Tamandua tetradactyla: one gene and its partners. The protein of the gene in region 1 binds, or shares a complex with, the protein of each later gene. Links are inferred from orthologs where the notes say so. Each region holds a gene or a part of one and is shown on either strand. Other genes may lie near its edges.

Region 1 (7,172 bases):
TAATTGGTGCTGAAAGGATACAGATTGTGCAACGGGACTGAATGTAAAAACTCAGAAATGGACAACACAATACTACCTAAATGTAATACAATGATGTTGGAACATTGAATGAGGCTGAATGTGAGAATGACAGAGGGAGGAGAGCTGGGGGCACAAACGAAATCAGAAAGAAAGATAAGACGTTAAAGATTGAGATGGTATAATCTAGGAACACCTAAAGTGTATAGTGATGGTGACTAAATGCACAAATTTAAAGAACGTTTTTGCATGAGGAAGAACAAAGGAATGTCATTAGTGCAGAGTGCCGAAAACAGATCATAATTAATATTTTAAAATTTTACCTTACGTGTGAGACTAAAGCAAAAAATGTTTATTTGGTACTAAATTTAAAAAAATAAAATAAAGAGTTAAGAGTAGAAAGATGTACAAAACTAAGCCTTATGCTGTAGAAGCAAAAAGTAGAGTTTTAAGAGCCAACAGCAATGAACAGTAAAGAAAAAGAACAAAGTTTGAGAAAAGGTAACAATATAACAAAGTTTGAGAAAAGGTAAGAATATAACAAAGTCTTGAGTAACTTTTAAGGCAGTAATGGCATAAATTAGATTACAATGGGTTAAGAATGAGTGACAAGTACTGAACACTGAATGCCTTGAAAATTCTTCTTATAAAGAATTTACAGCTACCTTATGAAATGGGTCTAATCCACCTTACAATAATATAACAACGAAATTAGTTATCACAGGAAGTGCTGAGAAGGAGCCCACAAAAACTGTTGGGTGAAAGAGATGAATTCAAGTGTTGGCTCAACTTCACCCCAGTTCTGTATGCTGTTGTAGCCAGGGACAATTTAATTTCTAAGAGCCTCAGGTTCATTTGTTAAAAAAAGAGGCCAATATCATCTAATATTCAGCCACTAGGGGAACTAAAGTAACATAACTCCTTGCCATTTATAAAATGCTTCTCATTTGATTCTCCCCCAAAATTTAAGAACTAAGGTAGATGAAAAAAATTGGGGCTCAAGAGGTTGAGAGAGGTATCCCATAACTGCACAGCCCTTTGGTGGCAAAACTAGGTCTAAAATCGCAGCCTTTAACTCTTGGTTTCCAACATACTCTTGCTTTCCAACAATCTGCATCCACATTTCAAATTCATAAGGACCTAATCAATGTTTTTGGTCTTTCTGAACTATCTGTTCGAATTGTACGCAATTTTTTCTACAAAGTCTGACTGATAAAGTATAACCACCGCTTCTATTTATAGCTCTTCACTGTCAGAGTCCTAACTGATTCTTCTGGTACACTACCAGGGGAAAGTATTACCTTAAAAAAAAAAAGCTTGTTACCAAAAAACATGAAAAAATACACATATCAAAAGGGACCCCTTCTGAGCATTTTTTTCTGGACTTAAGCTAAGCTTTCTAAAAAAGAAAAAAAATGAATAATCTATTAAGTCTGGCCAGCTTCAACTTATGAGAAAATGATTAAGCTTTTGACTACGTTTCAGCTGCAACAAAACTAGCCTCTACCAACGTGGTTCAATTATAACGTTTTTATTTCAAATCCTGAACCTGTCCTAACCTGCTGACATGGGAAATGTGTTCAAACACGACAGGGTCTTCCACACAGCAGATGTTTCCCTTTCTATTTACTGCCTCGTTCCGGCAAGAAGCAAGCTATACCGTAAACTAGTCGTCCACATAAAGACCCAAACGACTAAACTGTAAGAAGAAACCCTGAAAACCGCAATGCGAAACCGAGCAAGCCAGGCATGAACAGAGAAACACAGGGAAAAGGAGAAAAGGGAAGGGGTTGTGCCGCTGCGTGAACGCACACAGCTAAGGGTCCTGAAGGCCTGAAGGGTGAGACAGGGCAGGGCCTTTCCCGCCGGCGACCCCAAATAAGCGTCTGCAGAGTGGACAAGGGCGAAAGTAAAAGCGGCGGCTCTCGATGGATTTTACCCTCCATTGAAGGCGTAGGGTGAAAAGCGAAACTGGGAGGGACCCGCGGTTCTGTATGGCTCCATCCCCAGCTCTCGGTCAAGACCACAGTGCATAGCTGCTGAAGATAACATAGCTCAGCCCCAGATGCAGCTCCGGCTCCGACACCTGCTGTCTCACAGCAAGATGGCGGCTCCAGCCGGAAGTGACTTCACTTCACTTCCGGAAGTGAACACGTCAGTTCCGGCTGCTCCTCGGCGCCCACCTCCAAGCCGCTCTATCATGCACTCCTCGGTGCTCCTGGAGGTCACCGGCGCTGCCAGGATGTGTCGGTACCTCGGCGCTCCCTAGTCCAAAAAAAGCAGACAAAAATGTAAAGGGCTTGTGGGTTTTTTTCTTACGGAAAAATTCGAATTCCCTCCGAATGGCCAAAGATTTAAAAGTCTGACCATATAAAATATTAGCAAAAATGAGGAGAAACGGAAACTGGAAAACGCTATTGGTGGGAATGTAAATTGGAATAGCCAATTAACAGATTAGCGTCTAGCATAATTGAAGATACGCATACCTTGTGGGCCAAAAGTTCCAATCCTAGGTATATACTCTAGCCATAAAACACGTAACGTAAAACCAAAAGACATGCTTACCATCTGCAAATCCCAACCTTGCTCCATACCTTCCTTGGCCTGCGTAGACGCTGTAACCCGCCAAGCAATGCGCAGTGCTGCTCCGAATGCCCTGCACCCGCCCAGGACCAGCCTCCTAGGCTTTGAGTTCCAGTGAACTGTTACCTTGTTGCTTATCAACTGGCCTGCTTCATTTTTCAATCTTAAGGGTCCATCGAATTTAAGCAGACTCTATTCTGCAGGTTCCTGGCAAGACAAGGTGGACTACACGATATATACAGAAAATCTGGGATCAGAAAATGTTTTTGAAAGTACTTGTTTAATTAAATGTTGAAATATTTTCCATATTTCCCATAAATAAACAAAGGATTTTCTTTGATGTTATGCAGAAAGAGGTATTGTACTTATTCAGTTCTCTCCATAGGCTAACAAGGTGCCAGATATAGTACGCGATACAAAAAGCATAGATAACACTTCCGATCCTTAAGTTGCTGACCACCTCACTGATAAAACAGAAAAAATAAAGAGCAAATAAAAAACAAAGCAGTACAATATATGATTATTCATTTTTAAAAAACTAGAAGCGAGAAATCAAGGTGTGCTGGGTTCTAATCAAACATACAGAAGTAAACGAACTAAGAAACAACTAAGATTGCCGAAAATGGTTGGATTAGATAGGGTTCTCTGAGAGAAACTGAACTGGCAGATACATATATATATATATATATATGTAAATATTAAGAGACTTATAGGAATTGGCTCACAGAAACTTGGGGATCGACAAAACTGAATTCCATAGGGCAGGCAGCAAATTGGAAACTCTGTGATGATGTCATTGAATGCCCCAGGAGAAGCTGACTGGCTGAAGTAGAGACAGAAATTCTTTCTGACTGCTGAAATCCTCAGTTCTTTCTTTAAGGCCTCCAACTGGTTGGATAAGAAGAATCCTCTCATTGCTGAAGGCAATATCTTTTTTACATTATAGATGCAATCAACAGTAGATGCAATGAACTGATCAATGACTTAAATCCATCTCAAAAGACCCCCACAGAAACAATAAGACCAGTGCTCGCTTGACCAAACACCACCATAACCTAGCCAAGTTGACAACTGAGATCAACCATCATGATGTTACTAGCAGAATTATAAATACAATTGAATCTCTTTATTAAGGCTATCTTTTTGTTTTACTTATCATTATATATTTTTAAGAAGAATTAGGTAACCTTCAATGAATGCTTACCATGTGCCAGGCACTGTTCATCTATTAACTGAATCTCACAACATCTCTGCAGGGTAAATAGTATCATCCCATTTTAAAGACGAAGAAACCCAGGCACAGATGTCAACTGCCAAAGGTTACAAAACTACTTGGTTTAAATATATATTTTTTCTTTTTTTTTTTTAAGCATATATTGCTTTCCTGCATCCATCACCGACCAATTAGGAAGTATTATGGCAAAGCGGCCCCGCCCCAGAACTCTCCGAAGAGCTCCCACCCTAATTTCCCGTAAACCGAGCGCTCAAGGAATAGGGAAGCGACATGTGCCCACACTTCCCATGGCCGTCACTCGAGCATGGTTAGCTCGCTGAAGCCGAGGGGGCACTGGCGGAAGTGACGTCATCCAGCGCGCGCCGGTGTTTAATAGGGTCGGGAAGGGTCGCGGTGGCGGGTGCCCAATCTGGTTTGTGTGGGCCAGTGGCGGTTACCTCAGAGACTCCAGGTAACGGCCTCTTTGACTCTCTCTGTTCTCGGGAGGGCTGTGTGTGCGGAAGGATGGCGATTCGTGCATCGAGGTCCTCGGGCCGATGAAGGGGGAGGGGACGCGGAGCTGGGCGCGCAAGGCTCCGCGGGCTGCCGGACGTTCCTCCCGGCCCGTGCCGCCCACCGGCCGGCCGGTCCCCGCTGCCCGCCTGCCTCGGCCGCTGCCCCCAGCCGGGTCGCTGCACGGCTGTGGTTCGCAAGGCCGCTTCCCGCCGCGCAAATGTTGGGTGCTGAGCGTTTAGAGGGGCCCAGAGCGGAGGACAGCCAGGTGTGTCGGAAACCCATAATCTTTCCTGTCCTTTTCTGTCATGCCTCTTCTCTTCGGCAGTGGACGGTGGATTAACTCTGGCCTGGGCCTGCTGGTTTTGCTCCCATGCTGGTTTTATCGTGAAGTTCTGCTTGGGGCCTTTTTAGGATTCTCATAATCCTGAGACTTCGGGCTCGGTATGGCTTCTCTTAAATAAATAAATTCGCACTGCTGTATTTACAATGCCTACATGTCTGGAGTCAGGCCAGTGTGATTATCCAGTGTGAAGCTCCAGGTAACGTTCTCTGTGAAAAGAGACCTCATACAGACTGCTGGATGGGTTATGCAGACGCTAGAAGACTGTGCAGAATTCATTGGTTCTCTTCACTATCAGTCATTGCCTTCAGAAAACAAAAGAGCTTGTTTGATGTCTTCAGCTTCCAAAACATGGAGACACTCTCTCAACAATGATCTTTTCTAAGGATAAGTCAGTACAGTTGATATAGGTGAGGAAGTGGCAGTCTCTCCCATCCTGGAAGTGATGGGCTATTTCTGGGATTAGCGCTGAACGATTATGACGTAAGACTCCCAGTCTAGGTTCTCAGGCTTCTTTAGGCTTTTAGTTTGTGAAAGATAGTCTATAGATACCAAAGGCTCTGGATAAATTTCTAGGTAGTGATATTTACGGTGCTTTAAATCCTGCCTTGATTATCTCTTGCCTTAACTACGCAGCGACCCCTTAAACTAAGCTTCCCTTCTCTAGTCTTACTACCCTCTAATTCATCCACATTTTTGCCAAAATAGCCCTTCTGAAACACAGATCTATTCATTCTACGCTTCAGGATTGTGTAACTGCCATTAGTGCCTATGTGATAATGCCCAAAATTCTTCATAATGGGATGCCAACTATATTTTCTGTCTCATCTCTTGCACCTACCCTCTAGATAACTAAACTAAGCTGCTTTTATTTTTCTTCCCCTTTGTGCATGATCTTCCTTTTGCCTGAAATACAGATTGAGTCTTACCTTGCTAGACTCAAATCACATGGTCCTTGCTTTGTGAAAACACTGCCTTGTCTCCAGAGTGCGTCACAGTTCATACTTCCTTCTCTTCCATACCATATATGTATTCATTCATGTATATCTACATTCACTCATTTATGATCGCATAACTATGTTCCAGGCCCTGTGCTTGGTGCAGAAATTGCAAAGACACATATGCCTTCCATGATAGCACATACAAAATGTTGCAGTAAATATTTGCACACCCTTCAGTTGAATGATGTCAGTGGCTATATCCCCTTTGTCTTTATACTTTATACATTTATATTATTATTTTAGGGTTACAGTGTCTAGAAAAGTATACTTTTCTTACATCTCTGATATGTTTATTTTCAGCAGCACAGTTTTCTTTTTTCATTTTGATCTTACTAATAGAGGGTATTTTGAGTTTTAGTATGTGTTTGGTTTGATTTGGTTTGGTCTGTTTTTGGTGATGAGTATGTAGAAAATGTAGTCTTTGGGAACTTTCGCCCTCTCAAAGTGATCATCAGATTCTTTTATTCATTCAGCAAATATTTGAGTGCCTGCTGTGAACCAGGCACATAATTGAGATGTATGTAGTTCTTTTATATTTAACCTGCAACTTTGAGACCTGTAAGTGCTATATGAGAACTTTTTATTAGATGATAAATGTTTGAATAGAAATGTGCATTAAACTTCAAACTTTTTCAGAACAGCATCGCTTATCCTCAGTGTGCATGAAGATAACCCAAAGAGTTGAGGAAATTGGTAGGAGTGCACTGGTGATGCTCCAGGGAAAAGACTGAATGCTGAGAGAGATTCCAGTCCAAGGGTTTTTGGTTTACCAAGAAGAGAGTGAACATCATGGATCAAAACAACAGCCTCCCACCTTATGCTCAGGGCTTGGCCTCACCCCAGGTAACACCGCTGGAGGGAGGGCATAGGTAGGGAAGACATTGTAAGAAACAGTAGAAAAGGTAGGAGGGGGTTTAACTATGTAGTGTTGAAAATTATTTCTAACCTTGTATCTGATGCTCCTTTTATCTACCTTATTGACAGATGCATAAAACAAATGGAATAAAAATAAATAATAGAACAAATGTAAAAATAAATTTAGTAGATTGAAATGCTAGTGATCAATGAAAGGGAGAGGTATGGTATGTATGTTTTTTTTCTTTTTCTTTTTATTTCTTTTCCTGAATTGATGCAAATATTCTGAGAAATGATCATGATGATGAATATGCAACTACGTGATGATATTGTGAATTACTGATTATATATGTATATTTGTATGACCATATGTTAAGAATGTTTGTTTGTTATATTTCTAAAAAATTAATTTAAAAAATAAGGAAACGGATATCTAGCTTTTTAAGCCTTTCTTATTAGTTTTCTTGAGAAGTTCTTATTAGGCTATGACTAAACATGATAATGTTTCAAGAAGTTTATTCAGAGGCAAAATTCCATTATTTATCCGTTAAACACTTACTCTTTTGATAAATACTTGTGAAAATGTTCCAAGTGATTATAGAGTCTTTGATTTTGAAAGTTGTGCTCACTAAATTGTGTTCTAGTT
Region 2 (7,315 bases), on another chromosome or scaffold:
AAATAAAGTAACATAACTGACTGGAATTCCTAATTAGGAGCTCAAGTGAAAAGGGACATGAAGAAAGGGATGGAAAGCTTCTATTTTCTAGAAAGCAAAGGCCTCAACACTTGCCACACATGTTAACACACACTATCCCCTGCCCTCAGAGAGATGAGGAAGATGCTGAGAAGTCATGCAGAGAAGCAACATTTCCACCCATACGTCTACCTGTCAAATACAGACACCCCTAAAAACTGCCATTAAAACAGAAGTTGAAAATGACAAAGACGCCCTTTGCTGCCCTCCCCAACAGAAATAAAGCAACAGGGCCACCTATGTGAAGGCTCAGATGGAAGTGACCTGCTGACCCCCAATAACTACAAATAATGACGGCTGCCAGGGGACGGAGAAGGCGTGGGACACACCAGCTCTAAGGAATGAAAACACAGCCTGGGGGGTAGCCTGAGGAGGTGTAAGGGAGGGGCCTGGCATGAACAGGACCACTAAAAAGGCATTTTTATAATTAGATAAAAAGCTAAGTGCATAAAAAATACCCTGGCATTTTACACAATATACAGTGCCCACAAATTATCTTTAAAGGTTACTAAAGGTCAGCCATGGAACACTTTCCACCAGGTTGAAACATACAAATGCAGGTGAGGAGCTGATTAGAGCCCCGACACACTCCTTGGGATCACCAGGGAACTCGGTATCTCTCAGGTATTTCTGTATGTTACCATTTTCTCCTGGAGTACTGAAATCCCCGCACCACCCCAAACAGCTGTGTGGGCTGTAAAATGCCAAGGTGTGGGACCACAGGAAAGCAGCTGCCTGTGGAAGCCTGGCCCCCACTCCTGCACCTTCTCTTCTTACACTGCTGAACCGCCTCCAAAGTGACCAACCACTTAGCCCAAGGGGATGCAGGAGGTGGCCATGCTCTCACCTCAGTAACTGCTGCTGCAGCTGCGCCACACGTGACAGCAGCCTTGGAGTGCCTTCTCCAGAAGGGCGAGGCGGAGAGGACAGAGCCCAACTGGGGAAGCCGCCCCCTCCCAGAGAACTCCTAAGCCAGAGAAGTGTGCCATGCTGCTGGGGCATGTCCTGACCTCACAGAGGTGACAGGCCAGTGGCTGATGCAGAAACCCAAAGGGGGAGCCTGAGACCGAGCCCTCAGTCACCAAGCGTCCTGGGTCCAGTTTCACCCCACGTGGTCCTGTGCCACTGCTATCTCTAGAGGATCCTGACAAAACTAACCACACATCCTTTCCAAGCAACAGTACTGAGTTTAAAAACCATACCGGTGAGCTAGAGAATGCCAAAGGAACGCCCCAGAGCATGGATGTACAGTAAGGATGGTGACCATGGGGGCACACCCGGGACCCCTCTAGCACTCCACCCCTAAAGGCCTTGCAATTGTAAGATCTCTATCAGACAGGTATCGGAGGAAAAGCCCTCCCCCTCTCAAAGATGGTGGTCACCCTGCCTTGAGGTCAACTTCATAAGAGTGATCTCTCTAGCCCACTCTACGGGGGAGAGGCGGCGGCCACCACAGCAAGGGCAGTGAGGACACAGGCCATACACCTAAGTCCAGGAACCAGGAAAAGCTGGTGGTGCCCGAAACTGCCAAGGTGGGGCCATGCTCCAGGCAGGTCCCCTGTCACCACGGGAGGTGGGGTGTACGGCACACACGGGGCCCTGAGGGCCAAGACAGAAAGGCGGAAGGCCCTAAGGCGAAATCCTGGCAGGGAAAGCCAGAAAGGCAGACAGCAGCAAGGGGAAGGCCAAGCACCGCGGCTGTACCAGGCTACAGCCGTGATGTCACAGATGGAAAACCCACGCTGCTCCAGTGGGCGGGCACCGCGTACACACGCACGCACACACACTCAGGCAGCTTCAGGCCACCACAGCACCTGGGCGAGGCACAGCCTCAGCAAGCCCCCAATCCAGCCTCGCGGCCACCACAGCCCCCAGGGCCCACCGCGGACTCTGAACGTTTCAGCCGGCAGGACTTCCTGGAAGCCGCTGCGGAGTCAGCCAGGCCCACTTGCTCCTCCCGCTGAGCGCGCCCCACTTACCTGGGGGCAGCTGAAAGTTCTGAATGTTGGTGGGGTTCTGAGGTGGCTGCGGCAGGCGGGGGGCTAAAACGGTGGGTGTCAGGGTGGCCCGGATCCCGCCGGAGGTGGCCGTGGGCGTCCTGGGCAGGTTCTGAGTGCCGGCTGTGGCAGGGCCCTTGGGCAGCCCCGTGGGGGTGCCAGGGGCCGGCGGCGGAAGGCCGGGCGCGGCGGGCAACGCCGCAGACACAGGCGGCCCGATGGCCATGCCGGGCCCTGCGCCCCCCGCGCAGCCGGCCGCCAAGCTGGGCGGCGGGGGTAGCGGCTGCACCACGGTCTTCGGGGACTCGGCCTTGCCGGTGGGCGCGGGAACCGCAGGCGCTGCAGGGGGCGCGCCGGACCCCGGTTGACTGTTCACCAGGGTGGTCGGGGCCGTCCCGGAGCCGGCAGGGGCCGGGGGGGCGGCGGCGGCGGCGGGCAGGCCTCCCGCACCGAGCGCCGAGTTGATGACAGTACTACTCCCGTTCTGGGCGGCGGCGGGGGGCCCCGGGGCAGGAGCTGAGGCTGCGGCCGGGGGGCCAGGCGGCCGGGCAAGGGCCGCGGCGGCGGGGGCGGGCGGGGGCGGCTGCGGGGCGGCGGGGGCGGCTGCGATGACGGTGGGCGCCGAGGAAGCGGGGGCGGGGGCGACCGCGGCTCCCAAGAACGAGGCGGTCTGGATGACAGTGCCGGGGGCGGTGGCCGGGGGCGCGGGGCCGGCGCCCGCCTTAGCCAGCGGCAGCAACACGGACGCAGGCCCGTTGTTGACCAGGGCGACAGCAGGTGCGGCAGCGGGGGACGTGCCGGCGAAGGCGCCCCCGGCCAGGTGCGAGTTCACCACCACGCTGCTCCCGTTCAAAGTTTGCACAGCGCCGGGGGGCCCCAGCTTGCCGTTGCGGGCGGCCAGCGCGGTTGCCATGGAGGTGCTCAGGACCACGGACTTGCCCGGCGCTGCGGCGGCGGCGGCGGCGGGCTCCGGCCCTGCGCCCGGGCCGCCCGGGGAGGGGGAGCAGGCGACGGCGGGCGCACAACCCGGGGACGCGGCGCGGCTGGCGGCGGTGGCTGCGGCGGCCTCGGGCGGCGTCCGCACCGCGCTGTGGTTCGTCACGGCCCCCGGCGCCGCTCCGGCCCCTGCAAGAACAACGAGAGCGCGGCGGTGAGGACGCACCCGGCGCCCGCCAGCCCGCCGCCCGCCCGCCGCTGACAGCGCCCGCCCGCGGGCCCGGCCCGCGCGCCGCTCTACCTGCGGGGGGCCGCTCCGGCGCCGGTCCCGGTCCCGGCGGGGCGCCCTCGGGCGGGGCGGCGGCGGCGGCCGCGGGGCTGCCGCTCACAACATGGTTCCCGAGCGCGCCGGCGGCGGCCGCGGCCCGGGCCTCGGGCGGCCGCGCCGGGAGGTGGTGGTGGTGGGCCGCGCTGGCCGCCAGCTGCGACTCGAGCGAGCCCACCAGGTCGCTCACCACTTTCTCGTCCACCTCGCTGTTGAAGAAGACCTCGTCCAGCAGATCGGAGCCCGCCGCCATCTTTTCTCCTCGGCCGCCGCCGCCGCCGCCGCCGCTCGGGCCGAGGGCGCTGGGCGAGGAGGAGGTTCTGCGCGGGGCGGGCGGCAGGCGGGGCGGGGGCGGCGCGCGGCGGGGGCGGGGCGCGGCGGGCGGCGCGGGTGGTGGCGCGCGGGGGGAGGCGGCCGGCGCCAGTGCGCAGGCGCGCCCGGGCGCCCGGCGCCTCGTGATTGGCCGCCGCGCGCGCTTAAGAAGCACGGCAAATGGCCGCGAGTCGGAGAGGCTGGGGCGAGGGCGAGCGGTCGGGGACACAGAGCGGCGTGGCGGCGCGGCTCTGCAGAGGCGGCTAGGGCGGCGGCGAGGGCAGGCGGGCGGCCGCAGCGACGCGAGGCCCGGGCGGCCGGGTGGCCGGGCCGGGCCAGGGGCACGGGCGAGCGAGGGGCGGCGACAGCAGCTATCTCTTTGTCTCGGCGCGCTCCAAAATGGCTGCGGCCGGGCCGACTGGGGCGGGCGAGGCAGCGAGGGGCGCGGAGGCCGTCGTCCGCTCCGGGGCCGACCGCCCCGCCGCCCGGGCCCTCGGGAAGGGCGGAAGCTGAGGCCCGGCGGCGGCGGCGGCGGCGGCGGGGAAGCAGTACCCCCGGCGTCAGCCGCCATGGCTGCTCAGGCCGTTGAGCGCGGGAGGACGGACGGAAGAACGGAGGACGAGCAGCGGCGGCGGCCAGCGCGGCCTGGGAGCCGCGGGGCTTGGGGAGTATGCGCCCGCCCCCCTCCGGGCCGGGGAACACCCGGGCAGGGGCGGAGCCGGGGGCGGGCCCGAGTGGGCGCGGGGCTGTAGCCTCCCCACGAGGACCCCGTGTCCCGCGTTGTCGGCGAACGCGGGTCGAGGAGGCCGCAGGCGGGGCGCCGAGGGCCGGGCACGGGTGGGCCGGGCCGCGTACACCTAATGTGCTTCCTGTACAGTAAGGAGGAGAGCGACGCGGCCGCGTGCGCGGTTTCCTCCTGGGAGTCCTGCGCCCCCAGCGTTGGGGGGATGCCATGGAGCCGCCGCCTTGGTCAGCAGGGGGCGGGGGCTTGAGGGGCCCCAGCCAGATGAGCCTCGCAGTACTGGACTGAATCACCGGCGTTTACCCCCTTAATATGACCAACTGTTCTTGGGCCTTTCCCTCAACTTTAGGTCAATAAACGGAGTTTTTCAAGGTACAAGAAAAAGACCTGACGCTCAAGTGCTTGTCATGTAATCCGACTCAAGTCAACCCTCCTAGGCAGGAATATCTCATAAATTATTGGGTAAGTGGACAGTGCCCTTGAGAACAAAATAAAATTTTTGCATCACTAAGCAATCAGATCTAGAGGTGATTTCCTGTTCTTTATTTCCACTTTTTTTGACCAAGTAAATTATCCAAAACGATATTGACAGCACCTACTTCATAGAAATATTTCACTTAAAGTTACCTCTTTCTGGATGTTTACTAGTTTGATTTTGTTTTCACTCCCAAGATGGTGTAATTGGACATTGCTAATAGTTTTTTCTTCCTCTTTTTTTGAAACCCTTTCCACAGAGAAATGGCCCCCTCCTCAGACCTCACAACATGCGCTCATAGGGTCGTCTCTAATTACTGAAGAGATAATCACCACAATAAGCACAAATCTTCTCACAGTGAATGAAATTGTTGACATAGTAAATTATTTTTAAAACTGCCTAAACAAAAGAGACTGCTCAGCTCTCAAGAACAGTCTCGCTGGGGCTTTGTGTGCCTGTGTGTGTTACGCGTTGCAGTTTTGCCTTATGATGTGTGGCTATGTTCCCTCACACCCCCACCCCACGTTTATTCTCTTGAAAAAAATTATCAGCAGTGGAGGCTAAAACCAAGGAAAGAGGAAAAAAATGTTTATATGTCCTATAAACATATAACCTGAATTTTATACTTGAATTTTGGCCTCCAGAAGCAAGGCTATCATTCATGAAAAGTATCCTGGAAATGAAAAAATAAGGAAAGAAAATTTAAATCTTAGGCTTTCACCCCAGTAAGTCATTAATTGAGTATTGAGCTGCAGTGTAGAAGCCCAGACTTTGTAGGTGAACTAACCAGGTAGCTGGGATGAGACATTGGGTATGGTGGGGACTGAATGTTAAAAAGCCAAGGCCCCATCTCCACAGGGTGGCCTTGAGCAAAGAGCTCAGTGTGCAAAGACAGTCTGATTTTTCAAATGATAGAAATTTGAACTTTTATTTTAGGTCTTTTGTGTCTTAATAGCTAATTAGAAAATTTTTAAGTAGACCTAGCAAAACTCTCAGCAGGCCACCTTCATCCCGGTGCGCAGCATCTGTTGTAGGAAATGTACATTTGGATAAGGTTATCTGTACCCAAATACTCAGGTAGAGTAGTGCAAACAGCTGGGCTTCCAGGCAGAACACTGCACACCGCATACAGTGAGACCCTGAATCTGGGGCCCTGTGTCAGAAGCCTATCTTGCCAGGCAGCCCGGTTTTGCTCCCACACTCACATCAGTGAGTGCTTCAGTAGAGGAGCCAGCCATTCCCCTTAGCACATGGCTTCCCACATTTGCTGTAGCCCCACCCACTCACCCCTGGAACCCTCCAGTCCAGATCTGTCCTGGAGCCCTGAACAGACTGGATTCATCACAAGTGCACACTGCAGAAAGCTCGCCTCCAGTTCTGCATTCTGTCCCCAGTCTGCCACCAGGCTTGCTTTGGACCTCCGGTTCACAACCTCTCCCATACACAGATGCTGTGGCTGACATCACTCCCAGAGCCCTCTGCAGCAACCTCAAGACCAGCAGAGAGAAGACGTTGCCACGAAATCAAAAGGCACTTGTCAGCCTGACCAGCCCATTCATCCCAGGGAGTCCTATAAAAGAGGAAACATTTTGGAGCATGAGAGATTCGGAGAGAGCAGAGAATGCTGTAGCACCATGAAGCAGAGAGTCCACGAGCCAGCAACCTTTAGAGATGAAGAGGGAAGAGGGGGAAGCCTGTGACTTGACAGGTCTGAAGTAGAGCCTACTGCCTGGGCAAGTCCCCTCCCCACCTCTCACTTGCCAAAGTGACAATGCTTAAATCTTCTTGGCCAAGCCCCCTCACCCAGGTGCAGTCACCAATAATAATCAGAACCAAGGCACTAGATGCTCACCATGTGCCAGGCTGAGTATGCCCCACAGATGAGGGCCTCAGGGCTTGCAAAGGTAAAATAAATGGCCCAAAGTCTTGTTCCTGGTGCGGGCAGAGCTACCTTAAAAATACACAGGACTCAGCCTCTCATGCTCTTTCCAGGCTTCTACGGCTGACTGCCCTCCTCTTTCCATACAGGCTCTCTCCAAGCATGGCAGAACACTGCTGATTAACAGTCCGCTCACTGTCTTATAATCCAAGTCAGGCTCGCTTCTTCTCTGAGACTGACCCAGATCTCTCTGATGGCAGTTGTAGGTGTTTGCAAACTCTCCAGTGACTCATTGTTAGCACTCTCTTGGCTTACTCCCACTCACCATAGCCAGCATGAATGATTGGGCCAGCTTAAGGCAGAGAAGAGCTTGTTCCAAGGTTCAGGGGAGGAACTGCCCTGTCCTGACAGCACTCGGACAAGCCCAACCTCATGTGACATTTCCTTCACCATCCCAAAGGGCAAGTGAGGAATGGCCTTAGGCTCAAGAAAGTGGAGCCTAATGTCTTCAAGACCCTCCTTGTTCTTGTTTGCTAGTTGCTGGGATGCAATATACCAGAAATAGAATGGT
Region 3 (6,826 bases), on another chromosome or scaffold:
GACTGTTGGCCTGCATCTGGGGGTGACCCCATCCGTGGTCCGCAAGAGATACAACTTGACAGCACAAGACGTGGGCTCTGGAACCACCAACAATAGCCAGGCCTGTGCCCAGGTGAGCCGTGCAGACAGCCCCAAGGTCCTCATGGCTTCCCCAAGGTGTCCTTGGTGACTTACTGCCTGGGGTTTCTTGCTCTCTGCCTCTGACCCCTAGGCTCTCATTCCCTGGCCTGTGATCTGGGACTGTGTCCTCTGACCCATGACCCCTGCTCTGACTCCCTCCATAGTTCCTGGAGCAGTACTTCCGTGAAGCAGACCTAACTGAGTTCATGCACCTCTTTGGTGGAAGCTTTGCACACCAGACATCAATAGCCCGTGTAGTTGGACAACAGGGCCGGGGCAGGGCTGGGATCGAGGCCAGCCTAGATGTGGAGTACCTGATGAGTGCTGGTGCCAACATCTCCACCTGGGTCTATAGTAACCCTGGTACTGCCAAGGGGCTGGTTGGTGGGGAAGAGGGTGGAGAGTGGGCATTGATCCCAGATGCCTCAAGGGACTCCCATGAGCTGAAGGGAGATCCTGACAATGCCCCCACCAATAACGACCTTTGTCCTCTCCCCCTGGCCCCTTATCCCCTACCCCTGCCCATAAATCCAGGCCGGCATGAGGCACAAGAGCCCTTCTTACAGTGGCTCCTACTGCTCAGTAATGAGTCAGCCCTGCCACATGTGCACACCGTGAGCTACGGAGATGATGAGGACTCTCTCAGCAGCAGCTACATCCAGCGGGTCAACATCGAGTTCATGAAGGCCGCTGCTCGGGGTCTCACCCTACTCTTTGCCTCAGGTGACCTCTTACCCTAACCTTAGATCCCTACCCAGCCAACCTGGGACCTTTAACCTTACAGTGATCCCTGAGCCTGATCTTTGAGTCATAACCTGAACTCAGACCCTCAGTAGGGACCATAGGTCTGACCTCTAGACTCTGACCTCCATAGCAATGACTGACACCTAAACTTCCACTCTGATTTCTGAACCCACAATGAAGGTCTAAGTGCTAAACTTGGTCTCTCTCCTAGGTGACAGTGGCGCTGGGTGTTGGTCTGTCTCTGGAAGACACCAGTTCCGTCCTAGCTTCCCTGCCTCTAGGTAAGTACCCCAGTCTACCACTTACCTGTGACCACCAGCCTCTCACCTGTGATCTCATGATGTAGAATCTTTGTCTTGACCTCACCAGGCCCTCCTATTGCTCAGCCCTTAGCTTTACCTCCCCTAGTTGCTACACTCCCTTCTCTTCTTCCTGTAGGTCCCTGGCCCCACACCTTCTGAGCGGGACACAACCCCCAAGTGTTCTTCCTCCCAGTCCTGAGGCATTTAGGGGAAGATTTGGCACATGTTCTGTAGAGAAATGTATGGCCAATCACCTGTGGCCATGTCTTGAGGGCCCAAAACCTCTTAGTCACCCCAAAGTACATCCTTCCCCATGGAGTCTAGCCCATCCAGCAAGATCTAGTCTGTACTCACCCACCCTCATACATCTTGGAGTTCCTCTTGAATTCCCTGTAACCTGAGGGCTGTCTTGTTCCCTCAGCCCCTATGTCACCACAGTAGGAGGCACATCTTTCCAGAATCCCTTCTTCATCACAGACGAGGTTGTTGACTATATCAGTGGTGGTGGCTTCAGCAATGTGTTCCCACAGCCTTCATACCAGGTATGTGTATGTTTGTGTGGATGGATAGGTGGTAGTGTTCGAGATCCTCACTAGTTCAGCAGACTAAAGGGCAGGCTACAGGCCAGTACTCACTCCACAATGCCTTTTAGGAGGAAGCGGTAGCCCAGTTCCTGAGCTCCAGCCCTCATCTGCCACCATCCAGTTACTTCAATGCCAGTGGCCGTGCCTACCCAGATGTGGCTGCACTTTCTGATGGCTATTGGGTGGTCAGCAACAGCGTGCCCATTCCATGGGTTTCTGGCACTTCGGTGAGAATCAGCCTGGGTCTAAATCTCCTCTCAGGAAACTGTCCTCATCCTGTACCCCCAAGACCTTATACTCAGAACCCCTAACTCCTTAGAGACCTCCCTATAAGTCCAATCTCTCTCAACCTCTGATTTCTACTTACACCCTCATACTTGTAGGCCTCCACTCCAGTGTTTGGAGGACTCCTGTCCCTGGTAAATGAGCACAGAATACTCAGTGGCCATCCCCCTCTCGGCTTTCTCAACCCAAGGCTTTATCAACAGCGTGGGGCAGGACTCTTTGATGTAAGTGTGGTAGGGAAGGGTGTGTGCTTTCATATGAGTATGGGGAATGGTAAGGTAAACTTGAGGGTAGTTCTGATGGGGTGGGGAAGTCTCAGGGCTGTGAGTACAGGGTGAGGATCTATACTATCTGGTAGTACTGGAACCAGCAGGTCCAGATCTGATGCCTACTTCCTCCCCAGGTGACCCGTGGCTGTCATGTGTCCTGTCTGAATGAAGAAGTGGAGGGTCAGGGCTTCTGCTCTGGTCCTGGCTGGGATCCTGTGACAGGCTGGGGAACACCTAACTTCCCAGCTCTGCTAAAGACATTACTCAACCCCTGACCTTTTCCTGCCAGGAGTTCTGGCATGTCCCCTGCCCTGCAACCAGTGCTGGGTCTCTTATTCTGCACTGTTGGAAACCCTGCTGAACCCTCAACTGTTGACTGCTGCAGACAGCTTTCCTCCCTAACTCTGCAAGGCTGTGAGTTTGACTTGACTTCCAATCCTCCCTTGTTCCGTCATACTTAGGTCTCCCTACTCCTGCCTCAGGTTCCTCTGCAAGATGCTATAACCAGAACTTTTGGGGATGCCCCATCTCTTCTAAACCTGACTTTTCCAAAGGTTGTCCACAATATGTGCACTTTTTCATGTTCATTCAGCCCACTGCAATGAATCCTCTGCTTTAATGGGTTATTCTATCCTCCCCTGACAGTGGGCTCACCGTGAAACAATGGCCTCCTTGCTGCTTCATCTTTGCTTTATGGGCTCTCTATCACCATTACCCACTCCCTCTCCTTCCTTAGCTTCCAGGACTTAACTTCTCCTTCTCTGACTACTCCTGTCTTCTTCAATCATGGACTTCTCTTTTCTGCTTACTCATTGAATACTGGTGTTCACCATTGCTCCATCCTTAGTTTTTTGCTCTGCTCACTGTACCCATTGTCCCCTAGAACAAATCACTGGAATCTCAGCCATCACTGTCTCACTAAATCAGCCTCTACCCAACAGTGATTGATACCTCAAATACAAGATGTATAATATTCAACACTTCATCTTCCTCCTTGCCAAATCTGAACTGTTCCACCTCTTTATTTTCTTCTTGGTGATTCCTACTATGCCCCCTCCAAGCCAGAAACCTAAGAGTCATCCTACACTCCCATTTCCTTTACCTTACCTTCCCCCTACCTTCAATCAACAAGTCCTACTGACTTTACCTTGTAAGTATGTCTACATCAATCCATAAATTTTGCCAATTGTATTTCCTAAACATATCTGGAACTCATCCATGTCTCTCCATCTCCACTGCTACTTTGTTAGTTGAAGACTTCTCTCTCTGAACAGGAGGCCCTTGCAAAAACAGTGTCCACACTTCCTGCCCTTCCTAAACTTTTTTGAGAATATGCATATGCGATCAGGTCATACTTGATCAAAACCCTTTAAAGATGACTGGATAAATTTCAGGCTTTTTATCATGGCTTGCAAGACCTGATCCCTTCCTTTTTTGTTATTTGTGGCTGACGAACAAATTGATTATCTTCCCCTTGCACAATAAACTCCCTCTCCCCAACCTTTGCTCAAGCTGTTCTCTTAGACCTTTGCCTGGTAAATTTCCAGGATTCTTTCAAGACTCCACACTTGGAATTCACCTTCTCTTATGAAACTGTTCAGTTGCCTGAGATTCAGTTAGATGAATTTGGTATAGAAAAACAAAAACAAAAAAACCCAGATTTTTGTAATCAATCCATTAAATTCTTGATTCTGGTATGTACTATCAAAAGGCCTTAGGTAAATACTTCTATTTCTCTGAGCCTCTCAGAATAATCAGGGAATAAGTGGGATAACGTTGATAAAATGCCTGGACACTGGAGTAGGCAGCAAATATTAGTTCCCTTCCTCCTTTGCACTGCACACCCTGTGCCTACCTCTACTATTGTAAGTACCACATGGTAATGAAATTGCCAGTTTCCTTGTTTGTCTCGCTTTCCAAGACCGTCGGTGCCTAGAGGACTAGAATCTTGTCCTACTTAAAGTTGAATTCCCAGGCTCTAGCTCAGGGGTTGGCAAATAGAATTCAGTAAATGCTTGTCGAATTGAAAACCTCGCGCTTTCTCTGGCTTTGATTTGCTTATGTCATTTGCTCGAGGCCGAAATAACGCTCCTCATCTACTGGAGCATTGTGTCCCGCCCTCCTGCTTCTGCACTTCTCTGGGCAGTTGGCGAGACAGGGGACGCGGGATGCTCTCCCACTCCACTACGATCTCTTAAAATCTGAATGAGGGCTCCAGAGGGAAAGCAGATTGGCAGACAACCTGTGGTCGAGGGTATCTGGCCGATGCAATATTTTGGGAGCGTCAGCTGAATGGAATGTCCCCAGACCAGCACAAGAGAGTCCCGGAAATACAGTGGTTGTTTTCCCGGCGGAACTGTCTCGGAGTACCGCTGAGTGGGAGAGCAGGCTGGCCCCGGCCTGCGCAGTTCTCCAGGTATTGGCCTCCGCTCTTGCGGACAGTTCACCTAATTGGCCAAAGAGAAACAACCTAAGGCCGGAGACCCGAGGGAGAGAGCAAATATGCTGTGGGAGGAGCGAGTTGTGAAGCGTGTGACATCACCCTGGTGTGTGCGTAACGTGGGCGGAAGCGGAAGCTGCTCTGTTCGCCGCCTCTCTCACCGGCCCGATGAGCTGCAGCGGCTCCGGCGCGGACCCCGAGGCGGCGCCGGCGTCCGCCGCCTCGGCCTCGGGTCCGGCACCCACTGCCTCGGCCTCAGCAGCGCTGCCTGCCAGCGCCGCCGCGGAGAGCAAGGGCAGCCCCGCAGGGATAGCAGGGGGCCCTGGGGCTGGAGCCGCGGCTGGGGGCTCGGGACCCGTGGCGGCGCGGGCTGGAGAGACGGCCGAGAGGCGCGGGGCGAGTGAGGGCCGGGCCGGGGCGGGTGAGGGTGAGGGAAAGCGCCTGGGGCTGGGTTCAGAGGCGAGTAAGGGTAGAGGGCACAAGCGTCTGCGACCCAGCGGCGAGTAAGGGGACAGGGTACTAGGGTCCTGCACGCCCCCACCTCCGTTTTCACTTTGTTGGTTCTCCGCTAGCTCCTGTGTCGGCGGGCGGCGCGGCGCCCCCGGAGGGTGCCATGTCTAACGGAGTTTACGTACTGCCGAGCGCGGCCAACGGAGAGGTGAAGCCGGTGGTGTCCAGCACACCTCTGGTGGACTTCCTGATGCAGCTGGAGGATTACACGCCTACGGTGGGCTTCCCGCCTGAACAAGGCCACTTGGCCTACTGTCATGCCAACCTTTGCCATGAATTACTTCCCCAGTGCTTTCCTGTGTTTGCTGCCCTCCTCTTATGATCAATCCCCTCTCCCCTTCCTGTGAGCTTCCTGATAACCAGCCCTGTTCTCCATTTCCCTTGCCTTCCCTCATTCTCAGCCCAACAGAGCTCAAGGTTAGCAATGACAGTTGTCTAATTGATTTCTCAGATCCCAGATGCAGTGACTGGTTACTATCTGAACCGTGCTGGCTTTGAGGCCTCGGACCCACGCATGTGAGTAAACACTGGACAAAGTAGAGTTCTGGGTGCTTGTATAGAAGTTGTTTCCCATCTCCTTTTCATACCAGTTTTTTCTCTCTAGAATTCGGCTCATCTCCCTAGCTGCCCAGAAATTCATCTCAGATATTGCCAATGATGCCCTACAGCACTGCAAAATGAAGGGCACAGCCTCCGGCAGCTCCCGAAGCAAGAGCAAGGTGTGAGGGGAGGCTCACTGAATCAGTAATTATCCTTCACAGCCTTGGAGGCTTAACTTATCCTGAAACCCTTTAGGGAAACCAAGTCCTAGGGGAGACTTAAGACCTACTCAGGGTCACCACCTGGGATTGAAATCTGAGATTCTTGTGCTCAGCTGGTGCTCTTCCCTTTCCCCTCAGGACCGCAAGTATACTCTAACCATGGAGGACTTGACACCTGCCCTCAGCGAGTATGGCATCAATGTGAAGAAGCCGCATTACTTCACCTGAGCCACCCAACCTAAATGTATTTGTCCCCATATCCCCACACCAGCCTGTTTTCATAATAAACTTTATTGTGACAGGCAGGCTGATCCCTCCCATGCTGGGAGACACCGTGTGGCAAGTGACAAAGCTCTGAGCCCAGCCTCTTTTGGGGCCACAGTAACAGGGGCGTGGGTAGGGGATGGGCCCCATGGCTGGGGTAGTACCATGACTGGAGACAAAGGAGGCAACCAGAGGCCTGCTGCTTTGGGGAGGGGCACTCCCCCAACTGTGTCCTGACACCCCTGGAGTTTTTTAGGGAAGGACTTTCCAGCCCTACTTGTCTTGCATCTTCTCCAGAATAGGCACAATCATGTCAAACTTAGGTCGCTTAGCAGGGTCTTCATTCATGCAGATCTTCATGAGCTTACACACATGAGGGGAAATACCTGGTGGGATGGTAGGCCGAAGGCCTTCCAGTGCCACCTGCAAATAGAAGGACAAACAAGGTAAACCTCACAATTTCAGTGTCGTGGGGAAAGGCCTATTGGGACAGGATTACTGTATATCTGAACAAGTCTGGGAACAGCCCAGACCCACCACAGTTACT
Region 4 (7,666 bases), on another chromosome or scaffold:
TAGGGTGTGAGAGATGGGTCTTCTTTCATTCTTTTGCATATGGATATCCAGTTCTCTAGGCACCATTTATTGAAGAGACTGCTCTGTCCCAGGTGAGTTGGCTTGACTGCCTTATCAAAGATCAAATGTCCATAGATGAGAGGGTCTATATCTGAGCACTCTATTCGATTCCATTGGTCGATATATCTATCTTTATGCCAATACCATGCTGTTTTGACCACTGTGGCTTCATAATATGCCTTAAAGTCAGGCAGCGCGAGACCTCCAGCTTCGTTTTTTTTCCTCAAGATGTTTTTAGCAATTCGGGGCACCCTGCCCTTCCAGATAAATTTGCTTATTGGTTTTTCTATTTCTGAAAAATAAGTTGTTGGGATTTTGATTGGTATTGCATTGAATCTGTAAATCAATTTAGGTAGGATTGACATCTTAACTATATTTAGTCTTCCAATCCATGAACACGGTATGCCCTTCCATCTATTTAGGTCTTCTGTGATTTCTTTTAGCAGTTTTTTGTAGTTTTCTTTATATAGGTTTTTTGTCTCTTTAGTTAAATTTATTCCTAGGTATTTTATTCTTTTAGTTGCAATTGTAAATGGGATTCGTTTCTTGATTTCCCCCTCAGCTTGTTCCTTACTAGTGTATAGAAATGCTACAGATTTTTGAATGTTGATCTTGTAACCTGCTACTTTGCTGTACTCATTTATTAGCTCTAGTAGTTTTGTTGTGGATTTTTCCGGGTTTTCGACGTATAGTATCATATCGTCTGCAAACAGTTCTTCTCCCATTCTTAAGTTGCTAATTAAAACTCACAGGTAACTTTCTTCTTGGCATGTACTTTGGTCTGGGTTTTTGTTGGGCTGGAACACTAGTTTCGATGATTATTTTAGACAATACATTCCCTACAAATAAGCATCCATTTGGGACTTGACATTTACTTTAATACTGTGTCAAACACCAGCTTTCATTGTCCATTAATAATTTAATATGCACAATCTGATATCCCAAACAAAATATTAATTCTAGATAATGGGCCCCAAGTCTTTACATATTCTTAATCAATACCTTAAACATATTTTTGAACTGAATAATCTACAATCATTTAGGAATGGGGCATTTTAACTTTTTACTGTGAAATTGGATTGGTAGAAACACATACAAAAAATTCCTACATATTCTTACCCTGATTTTCTACAGGTTAACATTTTATCACATTTCCTCTATCAGGCAACCAGGCAAGTACTATCATTAACTACGAACATGTCAAAACCTGCACAATGATTACAGCTGGGTTTGATAATTATCTTACATATTATATTCATTTAAAAGGATAATGAAAGCACTTCAGATATTTCTGCTTGCAGCAGGCATGAAGACTCAAGTTAAAATTAAAATCTAATTCTAACTGCATGCCCTTCACCATCTCTTCAAAAGGGTTGGGTTTTTTGTTACCAAAACGGACACGAAGTCCACTCCACAAGACTACAGCCTCAATGATTAGTTTTACCTGTGGAGAAATCACAACCTGCGCTGCAAGGCAACACAGGCCTTTATTTAGGGTCTTAGAATTGCAATTAGGGAAGAACAGATTCAGGTTGCAACCCAAATTGTGTCTTGGGTCTTCCAGGCAAGGGTTTATAGAAAAAGATCACACAAGTTGTTTGTGTCTGGTGGGTATTAGGGACCCTCCAAATGTCCTTTAGGTTTGATAGTTAACTGAGTTCATTATCTTGTGATTTGTTTATGGTGTTTTTAGGGTTTTGAGGAACACTGTTGCATGAACCATTGCACAATTTGACAGTTTTTAATACCTGGCTGAGATTTGCTGAAAAGTAACTGCCAGAATAACCTCCTGACTCCATTTTAAATCTCTTAGTCATAGTAATTCTATTTTGTTTTCTTTCTTTTTGCAGATTAAAAATGTAGAACTTGGGCGGGCCGCGGTGGCTCAGCGGGCAAAGTGCTTGCCTGCTATGCCGGAGGACCTCGGTTCGATTCCCGGCCCCAGCCCATGTAACAAAAACGGAGAAACAGAATACAATAAAACAAGAAAATGTTTAAAGATGTTTCCCTTTCTTCCTTCCTTCTATCCTTCCTTCCTTCTCTCTGTCTTTCCTTTAAAAAAAAAAAAAAAAAAAAAAAAAAAATGTAGAACTTCTAGCAGGTAAAGTTAGCAGAGAAGGCAGTGTGGTTGTGTGCATATGTGTATGTGTGATGGAGTGATAAGAGAGAGGGAATTAGAAAGGTTCTAAAATAAAGATAAACTCAGAAAAGACTCCAGGAGCACAGTCCTGGGCTAGCTATTGACAAATATTCTCCGGATTTGATTCTATTGGGAATTAATGTCCCAGAAAGAGGGCCTGGAGAAGGAAGGAGTTGAAATAGAAGGCAGCTAAGTAAGTGGCGGTGCAGAGAGAACACCTCAATGGGGCATACCAACTAAACCAACCAAGCTGATTAACAATGATGAAATGCACACTTCACAGACATTCTCTCAAAACCTCTCACACTTTGGCAGATAAAAGGCAGGAATAGAATTCAAAACTAGATCTAACTCACGGTAAACCAGAATTCATCATACTATACTATGCTGACAGTAAAGGAATACGATATGGACACATTTCAGTTCAAAATAAGGAAGAATTTGTATAGAGTGATTCTACAGCACTCAGATCAAAATATGATCATCTACTTGCTTTCTGTCTCTTCCCCCTAGTCTATGATCTCTTTGAAGAAAGGACTATGTCTTTCATATCAATATTCCAAATAGCAAATGGGCACTAGTTTTTCTTTTTTTATTTTTTCTTTACATGGGCAGGCACTGGGAATCGAACCCAGGTCCTATGGCATAGCAGGCAAGCATTCTTGCCTGCTGAGCCACCATGGTCCGCCTGATGGGCACTAGTTTAGCATCATTTATTGGACATCTATGATGTAGCAGACCCATGGAACTCCCAGACAGGGACAGCTCCAAGAATGGAGTGCAATTGGTGCAGACACTAAGTCACTCAGAAGGGCACTTGGCTTAATGTTCTATTGTCACTGTCTTGAAACTTCTGTGTTAAAAATGAAGTATCATGAGACAACAAAGTATGCACAGAAATAGAGGAGAAAGGTGCAATATGCCTGGCCATCACCATTCCATGGCACCTCATTTGCATATAGATTTGTTATGCTCCATTAGCACATAATTCTGGTGGATCCACAAGGGAGGGAGTTTAAGACTTAAATTTACTAGCTTCCAGAGTTTTGATATACTATTCACATTTCAAGTAGTTAAGTAAAAATAGTTGAGTTAGTTTCGTGCAGTGTTTCCATTGTTCTTATAAGAACTAAAAACATATAACTTATATGAACTACAAAATACTAATTATGCAATTTCAGTGATTCTGCATGAGTTAAATGTTTTTATATTTGTACGTGGAACTGGCATTGAACAATATAAGCATGAATGATAAAATTCATGTTAATAATTTACATTTTAAATTTTTACTTAGTTTGGCATTAAATACAAATAAAACCTACCATGACAAGTAAAGAAACAAAGTACAGAAGAAGTTAAACACTTAAATTTTAGCACCTATAATGGCACTCTTCCCCCTGCTTTTTGAACAAGAGATCCTGCATTTTCATTTTGCATTGGCCTCACAAACTATATAGCCTGGCCTGCTCCTGTATATGATGGTAAGAAACGATACCTGTCCTGAAGATTTCATTATTCTACTGACTCTCTGGTGCTGCCTACAGGATCAGATTTTTTAATCCCTGGAGTTAATAGTTGGAGCAAAATTTGGTACCGACCAAATTATCTTCAAGGTCTCTTCCAATCCTGAGATGACTGACTAAAAACCACGACTAGATAGCCTCACTGGTTTATCATGTGATACAAAATGCCAGAAAGTGGAAAACGCAACCTGGCTCACAATTTTTTTTTCCTAGCTCATCCTTTTTTAATTGACTTTTATCTTAAACACCCTTCAGGGAACTACGGGGGTGGGGGACTCAGAAAAAATAATAAAACCCACAGCTAGTATCTCTTGCATGTCACCCAACTACTGGGAGGCACCCTCAGCTTAAGAGTTACAAAAACAAGGAATCCAAGTCCAATGGTTTAGCGCTTTTTTCCTCCCTCCCTCTTGGAGAGAGGGGAAGCGGGTGTAGTTAGTACAAAGGTTACTTGTTTTGAACCACGGTCAAAGCACGATCCTTTTCCAATATTTTAACACAGAACACAATCTGTACGACTAAAATTGCCAAAAAGGGATGCTTCACACTGAACGCAAACCCAAGTTCATCTGCTAACCTAGAATTCCCACACACGAAAGACAGACACACACATATCAATCCAGCACCCGGTTTTAGGAAGATAGACGACAACTCAGGAAATGCGACACCACCGAAAACAAATTGAGCTCAGAGGCTTTTTCCTCGCAATTAACATACATTTTGCTCCCTTGATCACATAATTTCCGTCATTCGCCGAGATGTTCTTGACTATTACACTTACCGATCTCAACCAGCTGAGTAAAGCTTTATGTTCCCTCAGGAAACTCCTTCCCCTTCACGTAAGTAAACTCCGGCTCCGCCTACTTTTAAATCCCTCCTCCTTTCCCTGCGATCCAATTGGCGCTGGGTGTCCTTATCTCCTCCCACCTCTCCCTTTTTTCCCTGGTGTTAAGTTGTACTCGCGAGATTTCGGCCCAACTATTAGCTAGGTCGCAAGCTAGCGTTCTCCCTTTCTCCGTTCCTGTTGCGAGAGGTAACGTTGTTGTTTAGTAGAGTGCTAGGGCGGGAGAATAATCAAGTCAGTCGGCGACTTCTGTCCCCGAGGCCCGGTTGCCAAGCTGAAAAAGTAGAGAAGAGAACATGGCTGTTCCGGGCTGGCGGTCGAGGAGGGTGGCTAGTCTATTTCTCCCTGGATCATAGCGTTGATTGGGGTGGAGCGAGCTTCGCAAGTTAGGCCCAGAGGGTGCAAGGTTCCCCCGGGCCTAGCTCGGCGGCCCTATAAATAAATGCGTGTTGGCGTGTATTGCGTTGTATCGGGGATGTAATTATTAGGATGTATTCTAGACAAGTACTTTGTGATTTAATAGGAATAAGTGCGAGGTAACGATTCTTGGCGCCATTTTCCTTCCACGAGGTTAGGAGTTCCCTAAGAGACCTCTCCCAGGGTCGCAGATAGTAAGTGAAGAAGTATTACGTTTGATCCTGTTTAGTGCTCTGTCTTGCTCTTACAAATCGCATAGTCCAACAACGGGATTATAACATAATCCAACAATGGTACCTAGCTGGAATGTTTCCAGTTTCTGCGAATTATTTTTGAGTGCACGCACTTCATTTTGATAATCTTTTAAATTTAATCCCAGGTGTGCCGTCGGGGCAGACTTTTATGTTTTGAGCAGTTGATACCCTATGATTTATTAACGATCTCAGAGTTTTACGTTCTTTTAAAAAGTGTAATAAACATTTTTAAATTACCCTAGAGGCTATGAGCACATATATTTGAAACATTTTGCTCCTTTTAGTATCCTCGAACTTATCGATACTCTTGGCGTTTCCCAAGAATGCTAGAGAGTAAAAAACTGCATAACTGGAAAAAAAGGCGTCGCTTATAACGGTGATGCAGTAGTGAAGATGGGTCTTTACGTCTGTTTTTTACGTTGTACAATGTTAAAGGGAAATTTTAAAAAGATGAATATCATCCTAGTCATTGCAAAGGAAAAGGTTTCACGGTTGCTTAGATGAGTTAATGTTAATTTGAAGAGACCGTAGATGAAATCCCAGACAAGGGTTTAAGATGTTCCATTGGATTCGGATGGTAAATGTTGATATCTGTTTTCATGGTATACTGGGTCCTCAGGTATACTAATCGTCTACTTTTGTATATGAAAGTGAATTTTTCTGATCTTGGAAAATGACCAGTAGTTATATGGTACTGTATTGGTATTTGTATGTTACTGTATAGTTCCTGGTAAAAGTACAGCATTTATTGGTAGTTGGAAAGCTAACGGTACTTCTGTTGGAAATGACATTACTTTCTGGATGGAATGGATCTTGTACCATTGCATAGATTTGAAAAAGCACAACCAGGAGAATGGAGCTTGTGAATGCAGTTTCTGAATTTTAGAATTTGATTTGAAATGGATAGCTTCTAAATAAGCTTATGCTTGGTAAATCAAGTGACTTTTTTTCCTAATTCACAGTTGATGTAACTTGAGAACTTAATACTCTCCATTTAGATATTTGCTGTATCAGTGATGGATTCTCTCGACTACAAAACAGCTGCTGTAGAAACTGAAGATCAAAGGTAAGTGTAAAAAACAGTTGACAGTTACTAGAAAGTTTTCAGCAATAGATTCGTAAGTTTATATAGTAAAATACCTTCTTAACACCTTGACTCCATGTTTTATATCAAGCAAATAGATATCAGGGTGGAGTGTCGCTTGAAAATATTCCACAAAGAAAGGATGCTGGCATAACTATACATACAAGATAATTTCAGGGTACTTCACAGAATTGCCATTGAAATGGCATTTCTAATAGACTGCCAAATATTTTTCGAAGCCTTAATGGAGTTTATATTTCAAATGGAGGATAATAAGCAGTTTAAGTGTTTTGGGACGTTTTAGGTAGGGCGAATAGGATTCACTGGCTAGCATTCTGCTAATTCCTACCGCTTCCATTTATTTTTTAAAAACTTATTGTGGGGTGGTGTGATGGTGGTTCAGTGCTAGAATTCTCAGCTGCCACGCCAGAGACCCGTGTTCAATTCCTGGTGCCTGCCCATGAGAAAAAAAACCTTACTGTGAACATGTTCCCTACTTTAGTCTTTGGAAGGATACCTATTTGAAATTATTAGTAGTAAGCAGTCAGTGAGAATGTAATTTTTTCTCCCTTTTTCTAGTGATAGCTCATCGTCTGGTAGCAGTTTATTTAAAACTCAGTGTATTCCTTCATTACCTAAGCAGAGGCAAGGAAACCCTGTTAGGAAATTTTATTTTCAAGAAAATGTTCAAAATAGAGATTCATCAAGCGATTCCTCTTGGGAACCGATACCACGAACTTTAAAAGCTATTTTTGAAAGATTCAAGAAAAGGAAACGTAAAAGGAGGAAATATAAGCCAACAGGAAGACCTAAGGGAAGACCAAAAGGAAGAAGAAACACCAGAAGTTCACAAATAGGCAAAAAAGAATTGAAAGACAGAGGACCCTGGTTCTCGTTTTTACAATCAGAGAATGGAAGAAACCCATTACCTTGGAAGAAAATTCTAACCTTTGAGGTGAGTCATTCTCTTATATCAATGGAAATACAGGAAATTATTTGTTGACTCTGGAAGCTTCCCTTATCTTTTTTTTTGTTTTTTAGCTTCCCTTATCTTACAGTTATCTATGCTGAATCATTCTAGCAAACTCTCCAGAGTGATGCGCAGTTCCTGAGTTCTTTAAATACATCCTTAAAGCTCATATTACTACTCATTTTTGAAGCAATGAAATTCTAAACCACACATAGCTTAATGTTCCTGGCTTTTAGTAAATTTTTTTTAGAGGCTGGATGACAGAATTGGCTGGCACCCACCTGATACCTATCAGATTAAAATATTGATTGAGTGAATGTATAATTGTCTTCCTTGCTAGAATGCGATTTATTTCTAAGAATGAATAGCATTAG

What was found.
Region 2: TBP (region 1) and TAF4 share a complex: the UniProt entries of both Homo sapiens proteins name them as parts of the TFIID basal transcription factor complex. The link is inferred for Tamandua tetradactyla from reciprocal best matches to the Homo sapiens genes TBP and TAF4.
Region 3: TBP (region 1) and TAF10 share a complex: the UniProt entries of both Homo sapiens proteins name them as parts of the TFIID basal transcription factor complex. The link is inferred for Tamandua tetradactyla from reciprocal best matches to the Homo sapiens genes TBP and TAF10.
Region 4: TBP (region 1) and TAF1D share a complex: the UniProt entries of both Homo sapiens proteins name them as parts of the transcription factor SL1/TIF-IB complex. The link is inferred for Tamandua tetradactyla from reciprocal best matches to the Homo sapiens genes TBP and TAF1D.

What each region holds. Positions count from the first base shown.
Region 1 is NC_135330.1:84,882,392-84,889,563, forward strand, and holds the start of TBP (TATA-box-binding protein), read left to right. Parts: upstream 1-4,157; 5' UTR 4,158-4,286; intron 4,287-4,446; exon of another isoform or gene 4,447-4,595; intron 4,596-4,655; exon of another isoform or gene 4,656-4,771; intron 4,772-6,307; 5' UTR 6,308-6,460; coding exon 6,461-6,514; intron 6,515-7,172. Other genes in the region: PSMB1 (proteasome subunit beta type-1), read right to left, coding at 1,958-2,070. UniProt on the Homo sapiens protein: The TFIID basal transcription factor complex plays a major role in the initiation of RNA polymerase II (Pol II)-dependent transcription.
Region 2 is NC_135327.1:59,658,588-59,665,902, forward strand, and holds the start of TAF4 (transcription initiation factor TFIID subunit 4), read right to left. Parts: upstream 3,012-7,315; 5' UTR 2,989-3,011; coding exon 2,058-2,988; exon of another isoform or gene 1,840-2,057; intron 1-1,839. UniProt on the Homo sapiens protein: The TFIID basal transcription factor complex plays a major role in the initiation of RNA polymerase II (Pol II)-dependent transcription.
Region 3 is NC_135334.1:80,052,917-80,059,742, reverse strand, and holds TAF10 (transcription initiation factor TFIID subunit 10), read left to right. Parts: upstream 1-4,899; 5' UTR 4,900-4,912; coding exon 4,913-5,144; intron 5,145-5,316; coding exon 5,317-5,471; intron 5,472-5,705; coding exon 5,706-5,770; intron 5,771-5,858; coding exon 5,859-5,973; intron 5,974-6,153; coding exon 6,154-6,243; 3' UTR 6,244-6,320; downstream 6,321-6,826. Other genes in the region: TPP1 (tripeptidyl-peptidase 1), read left to right, coding at 1-112, 285-483, 655-848, 1,081-1,145, 1,588-1,708, 1,819-1,977, 2,134-2,259, 2,439-2,579; scaffold protein ILK, read right to left, coding at 6,553-6,702. UniProt on the Homo sapiens protein: The TFIID basal transcription factor complex plays a major role in the initiation of RNA polymerase II (Pol II)-dependent transcription.
Region 4 is NC_135334.1:49,332,771-49,340,436, forward strand, and holds the start of TAF1D (TATA box-binding protein-associated factor RNA polymerase I subunit D), read left to right. Parts: upstream 1-4,656; 5' UTR 4,657-4,756; exon of another isoform or gene 4,757-4,838; intron 4,839-6,214; exon of another isoform or gene 6,215-6,236; 5' UTR 6,237-6,254; coding exon 6,255-6,304; intron 6,305-6,901; coding exon 6,902-7,277; intron 7,278-7,666. UniProt on the Homo sapiens protein: Component of the transcription factor SL1/TIF-IB complex, which is involved in the assembly of the PIC (preinitiation complex) during RNA polymerase I-dependent transcription.